Notamacropus eugenii: one gene and its partner. The protein of the gene in region 1 binds, or shares a complex with, the protein of each later gene. Links are inferred from orthologs where the notes say so. Each region holds a gene or a part of one and is shown in the gene's direction. Other genes may lie near its edges.

Region 1 (6,966 bases):
TATAATCAATCTTACTTATAAATAAAATAAGTACATAGCATTCTCTCTTGGGGAAAAAAAACCTATTCAACTGAAACTGCTCCATCTAAAGTTACCAGTGGTTTCTTAATTGACAAATCAGATGGCCTTTTCTTAACTGTCACCCTTCTGGATCTGTCTGTTACAAGTGACAATGCTGAGTATTTCCTACTCATACATACTTTTTCTTTTTTTGTGACACTACTCTCTTGGTTTTCCTCTTATCTGACTATTACTTTTCATTCTTTGCTGGATCATCATTCCCTCTGCCCTTAACTCTGGATATATTCCAAGACTAGTTCATTTCTCAATGTATAATCTCCGAGAACTTATCATCTCCCATTGGTTCAACTGTTATGGCACACAGATGATTTCTAGATACAGACTTGCACCATCAATAGGTTTTTTGCATATTTTTTCAAATGGCTTCTCAAATTCAATATATTCAAAATAGATGTCATTATCTCCTCCCTGCACCAAACCCACTCTTTCAGACTTCTCTATTTCTGCTGAATGTACCACCATACTTTCAGTCACAAGTATTTGCAACCTCTGAGTCATCTCTCCCTCCTCACTTTTCCTTGCCCCACATATCCAATGAGTGGCCAAGTCTTGTCAACCCTATCTCTACATCTTCCATTCATCTCCATCTTTCCACTCTTCAACCAGCCTAGTTCAGAGCCTCATCACCTCTCACTTAAGACTACTCCATTTTAAATTGGTCCCCTTGCTCCTTCACACAAGTACTAATGTGACATTACTGAAGTAAAGCATGACTATGGTACTTTCTTGCTTGATAAACTCCAGTGGCTTCCTACTGTCCCTAGGATAAAAAATAAATTGCTCTGTCTGGTGTTTAAAACACTTCACGACCTGCCTCCAATCTACCTTTCCAGCCTTATTATACATTAATATGTATATGAAGGGGAGCTCTGTATGCTCTATAATCCAGCCAAATTGGCTTTGCTTTGAGCTCTTTTGCCCAAATATAGCATTCCATCTTCTGACTGTACTTTTGCATAGGCTGTTCCACACTTGCATTCCTGAAATGCACTCCCTGTTTACCTCTTCCTCTTCGAATAGATCAGCTCAAATACCACCATAAGAGGCCTTTCCTAGTTCCCATGGTCACTGGTGGTTTTTCTTCACAATTGCCTGGTATTTATTTTCTACGTGTTATATGTATACCTCATCTCCCTTTTGAGAATGTAAGCTCCTAAAGAATAAGGACTGTTTTATGTCTTTGTATCCCCAGTATCTACCTCAGTCCCGGCAGAGTAGGCATTTAATAAATGCTTACTGATTGATTAGAGATGCTTGGCAGCTTATAGGCTTAGTTACCTGGGGTACTGAAAAGTTGAGTCTAAGTTACCAAGCATTTATTTAAAACCTACTACATGCCAAGTACTGTGGGAAGTGCTAGAAATTTGAATAAAGGCAAAAGACAGTCCCTGCTCTTAAGGAGCTCACAATCCAATGGGGGAGATATCATGGAAACATGTAGTAACTTGTCTAGGGTCACAAAGTCAACCTATATCAAAGCTGAACCCAGATCTTTAGGACTCCAAGGCCTGCTTTCTATTCACCCTTTGGTGTCTCTATAATAGAAATCACTTTTTACATTTTATTGACATTAGTGGTTATAGTTACATACATTCCTCTACAAATAAAAGTATCTCTCCTTACTAATGCTGAAGAACTATTAGACAACCCAAAGGTTTATTTAGAGGTTTATTTAATGCAAATGAATACTTATTAACCCAGGATAAAAATAAAGCCTTCAGGAATTGAGCATCCAGTTAATTTTTTTTTTATCTTACTCTAATGTGTTAATAAGTTAAATCAATTTTCAGGTAGAAGGCAAAACTGTCAACTGAATGATTCTCAACCAAATCCTTCAAAGGCAGTTCAACCAATGAAATTGGGAGGCAAGCTGAGTATGTTTCCCCTTAGATTCTTTGCTCTTGCTAGGTGACCTATCCGCATCCTTTTACGGCTATACATTTCTCTGATAAAATTTATGCCAGTTCTCAGTAGTAATATGTTACCCTACTTAGGACTACCAAGAGTGTCAACCTTTAGGTGACCTTCAACTTTAATTTTTCAGAATGATATTTCATGCCTCACAGCCAAAATAATATTTATGTTAAAAAGACTGGCTTTTGTTTTGGAGAGTAGTTTGGGGTGATTTAAAGAAAGCACTGAGTAATTTTCCAAATGCCAGCTCGTTCCCTTTAAGTAACTGAAGACAGACACCTATCACGGCCAATAAATTGCCTCCAGTCTACACATTCTTAATTGGTCCACACAATTCTTGACACAATTTTTGTGGTTCCCTTCCCATTTTACTTGGCCATTTCAAGATAAGAGTCACCTTTTCAATGTCTTTTCCTCAAATATAGTTTCCAAACACTTATGATGGTTCACAAACACCATATTCCAAGTATTTGACCAAGAGATGACAAGACAGTCATTTTCCTCTTTTCCAGAGATTCTTACCGTGGAACCCAAACCCATTTTTTCTTTAAAAAAATTGTTTTGATAAGTATATTTCAATACAACTGATTTCCTTTATTATCTTATGTATTTTATTATATGTACTAAAAAAAATTCTGAGGGGTCCATGGGTGTCATCAGGCTGCCCAAGGGGACTTCCCACAAAAACCCCCTGTTCTAGAGGAAGGCTTGAGAAAAGTAGATGGTGCTATGGTTAGAGCCCTGGATCTGGAGTCAGGAAAACCTCAGTGCAAACACTTGAAAGCTGTGTGACCTTAAGCAGGTCACAGTCTCTGTCTGTTTCAGTTTCCCCATCTGTAAAACCGGGATAAGGATGGCATCCACCTCCCAGGGTTGTGAGGACACAGTGAGGTAGTATATGTAAATCACTTGGCAAACCTTAAAGATCGCCATAAATGCCAGCTGTAATGATCAAACACTTCTGCTAATGACATTTAGAGGTTCAATGGCAATCAGCAAGCAACAAGCATTTATTAGGCGCCTTCTGTATGCCAAGCGTACAGAAAAGCAAGAAATAAAGAAGGTAAACAAGATCTGGGCTTCCGTCCCTCTCTGACCCCTACCATGGTGTGAGCCTGGCCAGGCCCTGTACACTGACAGTGCCACCCACAGGTGACTATTTAGTACGTGACAGAACCGGTGCAGACACGCACACAGGTAAGGGAGTGTCCTCACCAGGAATTCTTTACAGCCATAAAATCAGAGCAATGCCGGTCCAAAGGGGGGAAGGGTTTTAAGGGCTTGGCCCAAGACGTCTCTGAGGTGTCTCCCCGTAGAGAGCGTCTCACCTGACCCAGACTGACCAGGACCGGGTCGTCAAGGTCACCCAGGTGCTACCTAGTCCGGGAGCTGCATCCCGGGGCTCTCGACTCCAAATCCAGGGCGCTGGCCTCTCCAGACGGGGGCCGCCAAGGAGCCCACAAGGGCTCCCGCTCCCCTCCTGGACAGCCGAGGGCTCCGGCGGCCTTCCTCTCTCCTGGCCCCTCACGGCTTCCGTCCTCGCCGGCACGGGACCCCGCCTCCCTTCTCCCCCACCCCCCACCGGCCTGGCTCGCGCTGGGGCGACAGCGGCGGTTCCCACACCCTGGGACGGCCTACGACCGAGGACTCGGCCCCCCTGGGCCCCTCACCTAAGCCGGCGGCGGTCGCAACGGCTCTCGGGGACCCAGACGCGGGGACCGGAGTCCGCGAATGAGCCTCGGACTGCAAGTGGATATCTAGCTGGGCCCGGGAGGTGGTCGCGCCTGCGCAAACACGCTATAAACAAGCCCTCCCTCCTTCCCGTCGCCGCCGCACTCGGTTGGGAGAGACCGGAGTGGAAGGGTGAGAAGGAAGGCGGGGTGAAAGAGGAGGGGGAAGAAGGGGGGGGTGGCCTCTGGGAAAGCTAGGGACGGCGCCTGCGCAGTGGGTGTGATCCGGGCACTTGGGGCAGGATGAACGCTGCTTTCCAAGATGGCGACGGAGGGAGGAGGGAAGGAGATGAACGAGATTAAGACCCAGTTCACCACCCGAGAAGGTCTTTACAAGCTGCTACCGCATTCGGAATACAGTCGGCCCAACCGGGTGCCCTTCAACTCGCAGGGGTCCAACCCCGTGCGCGTCTCCTTCGTCAACCTTAACGACCAGTCTGGCAACGGCGACCGCCTCTGCTTCAATGTGGGCCGGGAGCTCTACTTCTATATCTACAAGGGGGTCCGCAAGGTACCGACCCGGGCGGCGCCAGGGCCCACCGGGGGTGGGGAAAGGGGCAGCGACATCGGCACGGGCGGCAGGGAAGGGGACGGGACCCGGTGACGTGACCCGACCCGGGGAGGAGGCGGCGGCCGCTTCACTTCAGAGTGGGCCGGTAACTCCACTTGAGAGTTCTCACCTCAGCGCTTGCACTGGGGGGAGGGAGGAGATAGAGGGGGGCGTGTAGCGTGGGGGGAGGGTCTGGGGGGCTGACTCGGGGACCAGTCCAGGGAGGCCACCCCCCCACCCCCCACCCCAGGTGTCTGCCTCTCGTCACCCCACCCTCCTCCGCCTTGAGTCTGTCAGGTTGGGTGACAAGCATGGAGCCGGGCCTGAGGGGCGAGGGGGCGGGGGTGGCGACTGCCCCAGCCCGACTGCGAGCTGGGGGGCTCCCCCGTGAGAGGACGGGGACGAGGGGTGGTAATGAGGTGGGACCGGCGCTGGGGAGCTGCAGGCTTGTGCCCGTAGTCCGAAAGGAGCCGCCTGGGCGCGGGTGGGGGATCGCGGGGGGCCGATCCACCTGCTGCCGCACTTCCTAGGAGTCCGTCGGTGGCCCGGCTGTTCACACTTTGTGTCTCCGAGCGCTCAGGGCAGGGCAGCTGTCGCTGTCTCCAGCCATAGAACGCTTGGGAGTGAATCTTTTCCTAGGAAAGATCATGAAAGATTGTCTCTTGTCTGTTTCTAGTATGTGGATAGGCTAAGTTTTAAAGTGAGGGACTGAGGCATCTTACTTTTCCATTATTTTAACGGGTGATATGGGTTCAGCATGAGAGCATTCGAACTAATCTTGTCAGAGAAGACACCTAAATCAGGAAGGTCTAAAAAGCGGCTTCATGTGGTCTCCTTTTCATGACAAGCAACAGTAATTCTTTCGACCGTGCAATCGTCTTCAAGCATGTTCTCCCTTTAAAAAAAAATTTGTTAGAGCCTTCATCTGTGTTATCATATACTTGTTAAGCTTTTGAAATAGAACTTTGAATTTACTATTAGCAGAGAGAAAATAATGGACTCTGTAATCTGTGCAAGATTATGAACAGACAAATATGATTTGCAGAAATGCTAATTTTTATTAGTACCTTAAAATACGCACATAATGAATAAGAAAGAATACAGACTTTCTGCAAATAAATACATTATGTACAAGTACAGTATTTTCATTTCAGTATTGCAGGGTCATGTGGTGGGTATGCTGAGTGTGTTTCTAAAGCAGTTATCTGAAATGTTTTTGCTAGTGTTTCCGATTATGGTCAGAATGTGATGGAAAATATTGAAAAGAAGCCACTTAATTTTTCTTTTCCTTTTAAAGTTGGAAAGTAAGAAAACATAACCTTGGTCCCGTTCCTAGCTTTGTCACTGACTTGTTGGGTGACCTTTGCCAAGTTGGTTCACCTAGAACTCCTCTACTTTAAAAAAAGATTGATTGCTGTGAATATGTTGTAAATAATGAATTAATAAGTGTACACTATTGTGAAGTCTTCAGAGACAATAAATGGAAAACAGTTACAAATATAAAGAATAATGGTCAAACAGGAAACTGCCATCTTGATTTTGATCCTAGAACTTTAAGGGTCAGTTTTCTGGTGCAGTTAGTTTCAAAGTTTTCATTGCTAAAATGTATTTTTTAGACACCGAACACCAAAAAAACAACCTCCAAACCAACCTTAACTTTCACCTAAACTGATAACCAGTTGAACCATCTTGTTACTCTGTTACCTTTTTTACTCTGCAAGTTTTCTTGTTGAAGCTTTCTCATAGGAAACTTGATCTGGGCAGTCTTGGTTTACATCATAAAACAGAGCCCATGCTCAAGAATTATCTTTGCAAAGGAAGTTTTTATTAAGGTAGATAATAACCTTTCTTACAAAATGGTAATACTAAAGTAAAGAGAGATTTGCAAAACTGCTCTGAAAAGTTCTTCTAAATGACTTTAAAAAATAGGAGTTGCGTAGGGTAGTTGGAGGGATTATATACATGTAGAGCTTTATCAGTGGAAGGAAAGAGGGGAGGTGAGAGGGAAAAAGTGAACCTTATTCCCATCACATTTGGCTTAAGGAGAGAATAACACACATACTCAATTTGCTATGAAACTATCTTACACTACAGGAAAGTAGGGTAGAAGGGAGGGTAAATGGGAGGAGAGAGGAATTAGAAGTAAATACTTTTGAGGAGGGATAGGGTCAGAAGAGGAGAATAGAATAAATGGGGGGCAGGAGAGGTTGGAGGGAAATATAATTAGTTTTGCCTAACATAACTTTTATGGAAGTCTTTTGCATAACTGCACATGTATAACATATTGAATTGCTTGCCTTTTCAGTGGGGATAGGTGGGGAGGGAGGAAGGGAGGGAAGTTGGAACTGAAAGTTTTAAGAATGAATGTTGAGAATTGTTTTTGCAGCAACTGAGAAATAAGAAATACAGGTAATGGGGTATAGATATCTATCTTGCCCTATAAGAAAAGAGAGAAGATGGGGAAAAGGGAAAGGAGGGGTGTGATAAAAGGGAGGGCAGATTGGAGGAAGGGGTAATCAGAATGCATGGTGGGTGGGGGAGGGGAGAGATGGGGAGAAAGTTTGGAACTCAAAATCTTGTGGAAATGAATGTTGAAAACTAAAAATAAATAAATTATAATGAAAAAAATAGGAGTTGCATTTACAGAAAACAGAAACAGGTGGTGGCACAGTAAATAGAGTCAGGAAGATC
Region 2 (7,644 bases), on another chromosome or scaffold:
TAGGTAAAGATTCTCTGTTAAGTATTATATCAATTAATTTCTTATATGCCCCTTATATACATATATACTTTGTTATTTGTATGATTTTGTTTAGAAAAAAACATTTGTACTAGAATAGGAGAACACACATGTACATTTTTATGCATATATTTCTTTCTACTCTGGTTTTGTTAAAAAAAAACCTCAGGGATTATTGTTCATCATTGATCTTAAATTAATACAGATCATTTATTCTTCACTTGCTCTCATTTTTGGCAAAAATTAAGAGCTCACAGATAAAGCACACTTCTGAGAAAATTTCCAATCCTGATCTGGGTCGAGAGGAACATAAGAATATTTCTTCATGGAACCAGGCTCCAGGACTGCTATAAAGTTACATTTTTAGTTTGTACCTTATATGCTCATATGATATAGATTCTGGAAACAAGGTAAGAAGACAGGACCCATAAGGAAGTAGGACCTATAATGTACATAAGGAAGGTCTAAAGTCCCACCCTTAGGTTATTGCTTTTTTTTTTTTTAAAGCTGAATGCCAGAAGTTAGGTCAACTGTGGGTCAGAACCACAGATACACCAGGTTTGTGGAATATAACCCCAACCGGAAGTGTCCCAGACCTAAATAAGTAGCTGTGTCCCTCCTACTTCTAACTCTCCTACTTCTCTATTGAAAAAACAGATGATATGCTTCAGAACTTTTCCCCATCTTTCCTCATTCTATCCTCTTTTGTTCTAGTCTCAGAGGAAAAGGTCATTCTACTCTTAGCTCAGTCTGACCCCTCAACTTGGGCCCTTCATCCTTTTCCCTTCTGTTCTCCAGAAATTTGCCTGTGATTGATTTTCAATGAAAAGCAAGCAGAGATTTTTGTTGACATCTGGTAATATTCCAACTATTATGTATCACTACATTCCTCTTTTGGGCAACAGGAGCAATCCCTCCCGCTTCCCCCTTCAAACTTCTACCTGGCAGGGACTGTTTTTAGTTTTTTGGTTTGTAACAATGTATCTCTGGCTTCTACTGTTTTAAGGGCAGGTCTGTTACCTTGCCCCATCTCCATAACCCAAGGTTCTCTGAAGGGGTGAGATTAGACTCATCTCGGCATTGGCTAGGGCTTCCATCGATTGTGTTTCCCAATTTTAGGGGCAAATGACTTGTACCCAGTTCCATTGAGCCACTTAGTTTAGCTTTTACAAAGGAAAATTTACTTCAAAGGTATGAGAAAACATAAGTACATTTTCCCTAGCACCTGAGAGCCTAATCCCTCTTACACCATCTCAGTCTCTAGGAAGTCTCAGTCCTTACCTAACATTAATCCCACCAAATTCAAGTCTGTCCTGAACCATTGGTGCACTGGCTGCAACATCTGGCCAGGTGTGCTGGGCTCCAAAATCCCTGTAGCTCAATTTTCTGAGTCTGGAACTCCACTTCCTGCACTCAGCAGTGAAAGGGACAAATGAAACAGACCAAAACTCCAAGCCCATTTCTTGGGGCTTTATGGCCAATGGAGGAGAGGGAGGCATACCTCAGGCGTGCCTCCCATCTCTCCCCCTCCCGCTTCCTCACTTCGTAGTGTCATGTGCTGCGAATGAATGAATACACCCATAGATGCAAATGCTAGAAAAGGACAACTGTCCTTAGTGACACGGATAATTCTGACTATATAGCTAATAAAAAAGGCTACTCCCAACTACACGGTAGGCCAATTCAGAATGTTTAGGCACACACTAGTTCTGTCTCTCAGAAGCAAGTCCCAAGAATTTCCCACATACGTGACACAATTTTCATTGGTCTGGGCATGTGCCAAACCTCCATTACACTTGTGTTCCCAGCGCTTAGCACACAACCTGGCACATAGTAATCAAAACCTAATAAATGTCTTTTCCTTGACTGATTTTGTGAGACCTCTATCCTGATTGTCTTCTACCTACCTTACTGCTCTTTCTCAGTCTCTCCTCCTGGATCATCATTTATGTCCTGTAACCTAACTGTGGTTCATTTACAAGATTCTTTCCTGGGCATTCTTCTCTAGCTACATTCTTTCTGTTGGTGACATTTTGGGTACAGTTCCAAATTGCTTGTGAATAGTTGGATCATTTCAGAGCTCTACCAACAGTGCATTAGTCTGCTTATCTTCCCACATCTCCTCCAAAAATGGTCATTTTTCTATTTTTTTTTGTCATCTTTGCTAATCTGATGGTAGAATCTTAGAGTTGCTTTAATGTGTATTTCTTCTTTTGAAAACTGTCTATGCATAGCCTTTGATCATTTGCCTACTGGGAAATGGTTCTTGTTCCTGTATGTTTGTATCAATTTCCTGCATATTTTGGTATCAGACCTTTAGCAGAGAAATTAGCTTCAAGGATTTTTTTGTGGCTAACTGTTTACCTTCTAATTTTAATTGCATTCATTTTGTTTGTGAAAATCTTTTTAATTTTATAGCTACTTTTCCATGTCTTTTCCCCATTAAAATGTTATTAAAATCTTTTGATTTTATATCATCTGCATTTTCCAATATATACTTCTATCTCTCCTTCCAAGAAAATTATCCATTATAACAAAGAATAAAAAAGAGAAAAACAGTTCAGTAAAACAAATCAGTATATTAATCAAGTCTGATACCATATTCAGCGTTTCACCCATAATATTCCACTTTTGCAATGAACGAAAGGAGATCTAGGCTTATTTCTTCATTCCCTTTCATTCACTCTATGTTCTATCAGTACCTGACATTCAGTGCACTTGCATTGCATCTTCTGCCCTGCAGCTATGTGATGTATTTCCTCACTTCTGTCTCTTAGATTTCCTGGGTTCTCTCCAGACTCAACTCATGAGCCACTACAGAAAGCCTCTCCTGTCTTGATTGTCGCTGATTTCTCCTTCCTCAAATGTTCTTGTAAATGTGTGTTGAGAGTAGAGAATATGAAATATGAGTTAAGGTTGGAAAAGGAGGATGGAGCTAGATAGTAGAAGGTTTTGAAGGTTAAGGCCAAAGAACTTTTATTTTATTCAATAGGCATTGAAGGAATCACTGAATAGGAGGATAATGTGATCCAGGCTGTATATTAGAAAGACTAACCTGGTAATAGTGTATAGATGGTTTAAGGGAAGACACTAGAGAAAGGAAGCCAGGTTAGGTTATAAATCAAATCAATAACTATTTATGGATTTCCTACTATTTACAATTCACACTATGGACAATTTTTTTTCTAATGGAATTCATCTACTATGTTATAATGGAAGTCAATACGGAAATTGATTTCTTAGCAAACTTTAAATATCTTCAGCCCGTTATTTTAGGGATAATTGTTCAGTTGAATGTAATCTCAGGCACTGAGAACCAGGCAGAATCTTGCCTTGCCTCCCACCCTCAATAACTTCTGTAAGCAAGTATTTAAAAATAAAAGACTTTTTTTTTTTTTTTTTTAAAGAAACAGGAATTTGCTGGATAATTTTAAGAAATTAAACTTAATTTCCTGGAACAAGAAGAATTAATGATGAACTGCCTGAAATGAATGACAGATTTTCAAATGATGCACTTTAAAAATAGAAAGAAGGAAACAGTTCCACTAGTTTACACTTTGATGTACTTCTCACAGAACTTGTCTATTTTTTTCTCCCACTTGCCAGTCTTATCAACTTCCTTTTGTCTCTCTGGGTAATATTATCCTTGTTGGGTCTCTTCCTATTCTTCCCTTTGCAGTTCTTGTTGTCTGGAAAAATATATTTAGAGAGTATATTTATAAGCATCATCAAAATTCATACTCAACAGGCAGGCTGTCTTTTGCAGATTCCTTACCCTTCCTCTTACATCACCGAGCTAAATATAACATGTATATGTCGAATCTTTACTTTTCTGTCTTTCTTTGGTAGGGTACTTTGGGGAAATCATTTGCCCTTTCTGGGCCTCAGTTTCCCCACCTGTAAAATGTGGGGATTGGGCTTTGAGATGTTGGAAGATGCCATCTAACTTTAATACTGTGTTCCCATGACGCGTTTGACACAAGTGCGCCGTTTTCAGAGAAAGATTAGACTTTGCAAATGAGTGGGTCTCACCGGGTCACAGCTGCGGAGGCGGGCTTTTCCCATTCCCTGCCCAAGAACCGAAGCCTTGGGCACGGATGTGTTGGGAGCGGAGACGCATCATTCCACCTAGAGGTCTGAACTGCCCGAATAAATCAGGTAAAGACCCAACTTCCGAGCCCCCTCTTCCGCGCTGTCCGGGCCAGCTCGGCTGCTCTGGCTTCCTGGCTCAGATCATCCATTCCCGAAGGGAAAGGAGGGCGGAAGAATGGTGGAAGAGCACTAGGACCCGGAGGGAAGTGCCGGCGGCGCCTCCCCGCCCCCTCAGGCCCTACCCCGCTACACGTTGGGGGCGGGGTTCTCATGGCTGGGGAAGGAGAAGGAGGAGGAGAGGGCGGCGCCTCGTGCGCGTGCGGCCGCTCGGGCTCGGCGGGCTGGCGGCTGGGGGCGGAGCTTGCTGGCCTCTAGCAGCGGGGCGGAGGCGGAGGCAGAGGGGGTGCTGGCCGCTCAGGTTGTCGGTCCCCGGGGTGCGGCGAGTGGGTGGTGCCGGAGTTGCCCGGACAGGCCGGGCATTAGGGCCCCGGCGGAGCTTGCTCCCCAGGCCGCGCTGGGCGGGGTGCTAGGCGGGCTGGAGCGGCCTCCGGAGGCAGCGGCTGCGCCCTGAGCCGGGGAGGAGCCGCAGCCGGAGCCGGGGGCGGGGGCCTTGGCCAGGGTGCCGGAGCGCCGGGCTCAGACGGTTGTTGGGGTCGGTCTGTGGGTCGCTCGGCCGGTCCTTTGGTCGGCCAGCCGGGCTGGGGCTGTCGGGCCGCCGGTACTGAGGGCGGCGGCCCCGCTGCCCTGCTCCTCCTCCCCCGCGCCCGGTGCTCGGAGCCCGGCGCCGCCGCCGCTGTGATTGGGTGGAAGATGGCGCTGGGCGGATGGAAATCCTAATGACAGTCTCCAAATTTGCTTCCATCTGTACCATGGTAGGTGGGAGCTGCGTCGGGAGCGGGTGTCCCGGGGGAGCCCCTGACCTTCCCCCGCCCGCGGCCGCCCCGGACACGGCGGGGCCTAGGGCGGCCCCGGGCCGGAATGAGACGGGCGGCTGGGGCCGGGCTGCGAGAGGAGGAGGAGGAGGAGGAGGAGGGTGAGGGCGGGTTACGGGCTCCTCGGAGCCCAGGCTGCCGTTAGGGGAGGCACCGGCGGGCGGGGAGGGCTTGGACACTGGGGCGGCGGGAGCCATTAGAGGCCTCGCTGGACCGGCCGGTGTGTGCGTGTGTGCGTGTGCGCCCGGGAGTGTATAAGGTAGTGGAGTAGCCCTTCTCCGCGAGTGAGTGCGTGCGTGCGTGCGTGTGTGTGCGGTATCGGAGGCTCTCCCTTTACCATGTGAGTGTGAGAAGAATTAGAGGTTCTCCCGAACACCTACTCCCCCCCTCGGGTGTGTATGTGTGTATGTTTATGTGTCTGAGTTAAATCGGAGGCCTTCCCCCTTAGCGAGTGTGTGAGTTTGGAGACGTGTGTGTTTGTAAGCTGTTAGAGGTTTTACCTCCGGCGTGCATGCGTGTGTGTGTGTGGGGGGGGGGGGCGAGTGCACTTTTATTCCCTCCGCTGGTGGGAATGAGCGATTGAGGAGGTTCCACTCTAATGCGTGTGCTTGCGTGCGTGTGTGTGTGTGTGAGTTAATTGGAAGTCTTCGTGCGAGTGTGAGAGTTTGGAGGGGCGTGAGTGCGTTATCGGAGGTCTGTTCTGCGTGCGTGTGTGAGAGTTCGGCGGCGATTGGAGGCTTTCCCCTCGGCGTGCGTGAGAGCAATTGAGGAGATCCCTCATCAGTGTGTACGCGCATGAGTGAGAGAGAGAGAGTGTGTGTGTGTGTGTGTGTGTGTGTTTGTGTGTTTGTGCGGGCGCTCAAGGTATTGGAGCCTTTCTCCTTTTCCTGTGTGTGCATGAGACTGGAGGCTCCCCTCTCAGTGTGTGTTATTTTTAAGGCTTGTGCGTGTGAGGATTGAGACCGTGGAGGCTTCCCCCTTAGCTTGTGTGAGTTACTGGAGGGTCTTCCCTCTGTAATGTAAGGCATGCCTGCAAGTTTCCCCTTCCGTGTGTGTGTGCGCGTGTATGTATGTGTGTAGATACTACAAGTCTCTCAATGCGAGGGATGGAATTAAGAAGTTCTTCTTGGATTCTGAGGTTGATAGAGAAATTTTGCCTATTGTGAAGACAGTCTACGTAGGTAGATTTTGTCACTGTAGAAGGGTCCACTAAATATGTTGATAGGAAATCTGTTGCTCTCTGTGGAGAAGATGTATAGGATTGGGTAGATTTTTTTTTTTTTTTGCTTCATGCCTCTTGAAGGACCCTCCAACCTGTCACTGTTGTGGGTTGAAAAGATGTGCTGGTTTGTTTAAATATGTTGCTGAACATTTTTTCCTTCTTTTCTATTTTTAATTTGCTGAAGAATTCTTGCGATGAACTGTCTTTCCCCTTTTCCAAACAAAAGGAGACAACGACTGTGTTTAGGTGGTAGCTTGGTCTCTCAGAATGTTGTTACTTTTAAAAACTCCACCAGTAATCTTTTAACTTATTAACTGGAATATACCAAATCCATCTGTATTTATTTAGTTTAAAGTATCTTTGTCAGACTGAGGGGGACGTGATATTTGTGTGATAACCTTAAAAAAAAAAACTTCATTCTTCACAACAGAAATGTGCCAGTGTCTGTTCAAAACCTTGATTTAAACATTTTACTTTTGAGTCAACATTTATTAAGTGCCTCCTGTGTGCCAGGACTAGGATAGGCCATAGGGATACAAAGACAAAAACAAACAAAACAACCTATGTCCTCAGGGAGCTTACTTTCTATGGGGAATTAACATCTACATGTATGAGCAAATATAGCATATTTATAGAATAATTTGGAGGTGGTTGGTTTTTGGGGCTGGGGGAGATCATGAAAGGCCTTACATATAAAGGAAGCACTTAAGCTGTGCTTCGAAGAACACTAGGAATTTTAAGCATATGTAAAAGGGCATGGAGACTGGAGATGTTATGCTTTTTATGGAGAAATAAAAGTAAACCATTTTGGTGAGTACCTAAAGGAAAGGAATGTATAGTTAGTCTGGAGAGGTAGGTTGGAATTAGGTTGTGAAGAACTTCAAAAACCTGAGAAATTCCTGTTTGTTCCTAAATGCCTCCACAGCTTCTTAGGCTGGGGAATGATGGTCAGACCATTGCTTAAGGAACGTGAGTTTGGTAGTTGTTTGGAGGATGGAGAGAAGAGGGTAGGGAATAGATGCAGGGAAACTAATTAAGATGGTTGTTAGTCCTGGGGAAAGGTCATAAAAGCCTGAGCCTTGTGGTAGTTGTGTGAGTAGAGAGAAGGAAATTGTTCCACAATATCTTGTGGAGGTAGAAAGATTTTTCAACCAATTGGACATGAGTGGTACTGAAGAATTGTTGAATGTGATAGAGATAACAAGCCTGAGTGACTAGAAGAATTGTAGTCTGTTCAACAGAATTTGGAAATTGGAAAAAGGAGTGGGTTTTAGGGAAAGATGAGTTCTATTTTGGATATATTGATTTTGTGATATCAATGGAAATATATAGTAGCTGACATAAATTGAGCTGACATACTAGGGCTGGATATGTAGAATT

The links. The genes of interacting proteins can lie anywhere in the genome.
Region 2: the proteins of WDR20 (region 1) and USP12 are in contact, whole or in part, in a crystal structure (PDB 5K1C), measured with the Homo sapiens proteins. The link is inferred for Notamacropus eugenii from reciprocal best matches to the Homo sapiens genes WDR20 and USP12. Residues at the interface, in NP_653175.2 of Homo sapiens: Asn41, Ser42, Gly44, Ser45, Arg151, Ser170, Lys259, Ser260, Tyr261, Phe262, Gly263, Glu282, Asp283, Asp284, Leu285, His301, Lys304, Ser305, Trp306, Gln374, Asp375, Thr376, Arg516, Met517, His533, Glu534, Arg535; in NP_872294.2 of Homo sapiens: Glu207, Asn209, Thr210, Ser211, Thr213, His214, Arg217, Arg277, Val279, Phe280, Pro281, Leu282, Glu283, Leu284, Arg285, Phe287, Asp297, Met299, Gln342, Glu345, Tyr348, Thr351, Ser352.

The regions. Positions count from the first base shown.
Region 1 is NC_092872.1:351,726,132-351,733,097, reverse strand, and holds the start of WDR20 (WD repeat-containing protein 20), read left to right. Parts: upstream 1-3,910; 5' UTR 3,911-3,987; coding exon 3,988-4,236; intron 4,237-6,966. UniProt on the Homo sapiens protein: Regulator of deubiquitinating complexes. Activates deubiquitinating activity of complexes containing USP12. Anchors at the base of the ubiquitin-contacting loop of USP12 and remotely modulates the catalytic center of the enzyme.
Region 2 is NC_092876.1:195,092,216-195,099,859, reverse strand, and holds the start of USP12 (ubiquitin carboxyl-terminal hydrolase 12), read left to right. Parts: upstream 1-4,548; 5' UTR 4,549-4,934; coding exon 4,935-4,982; intron 4,983-7,644. UniProt on the Homo sapiens protein: Deubiquitinating enzyme that plays various roles in the regulation of the immune response and inflammation.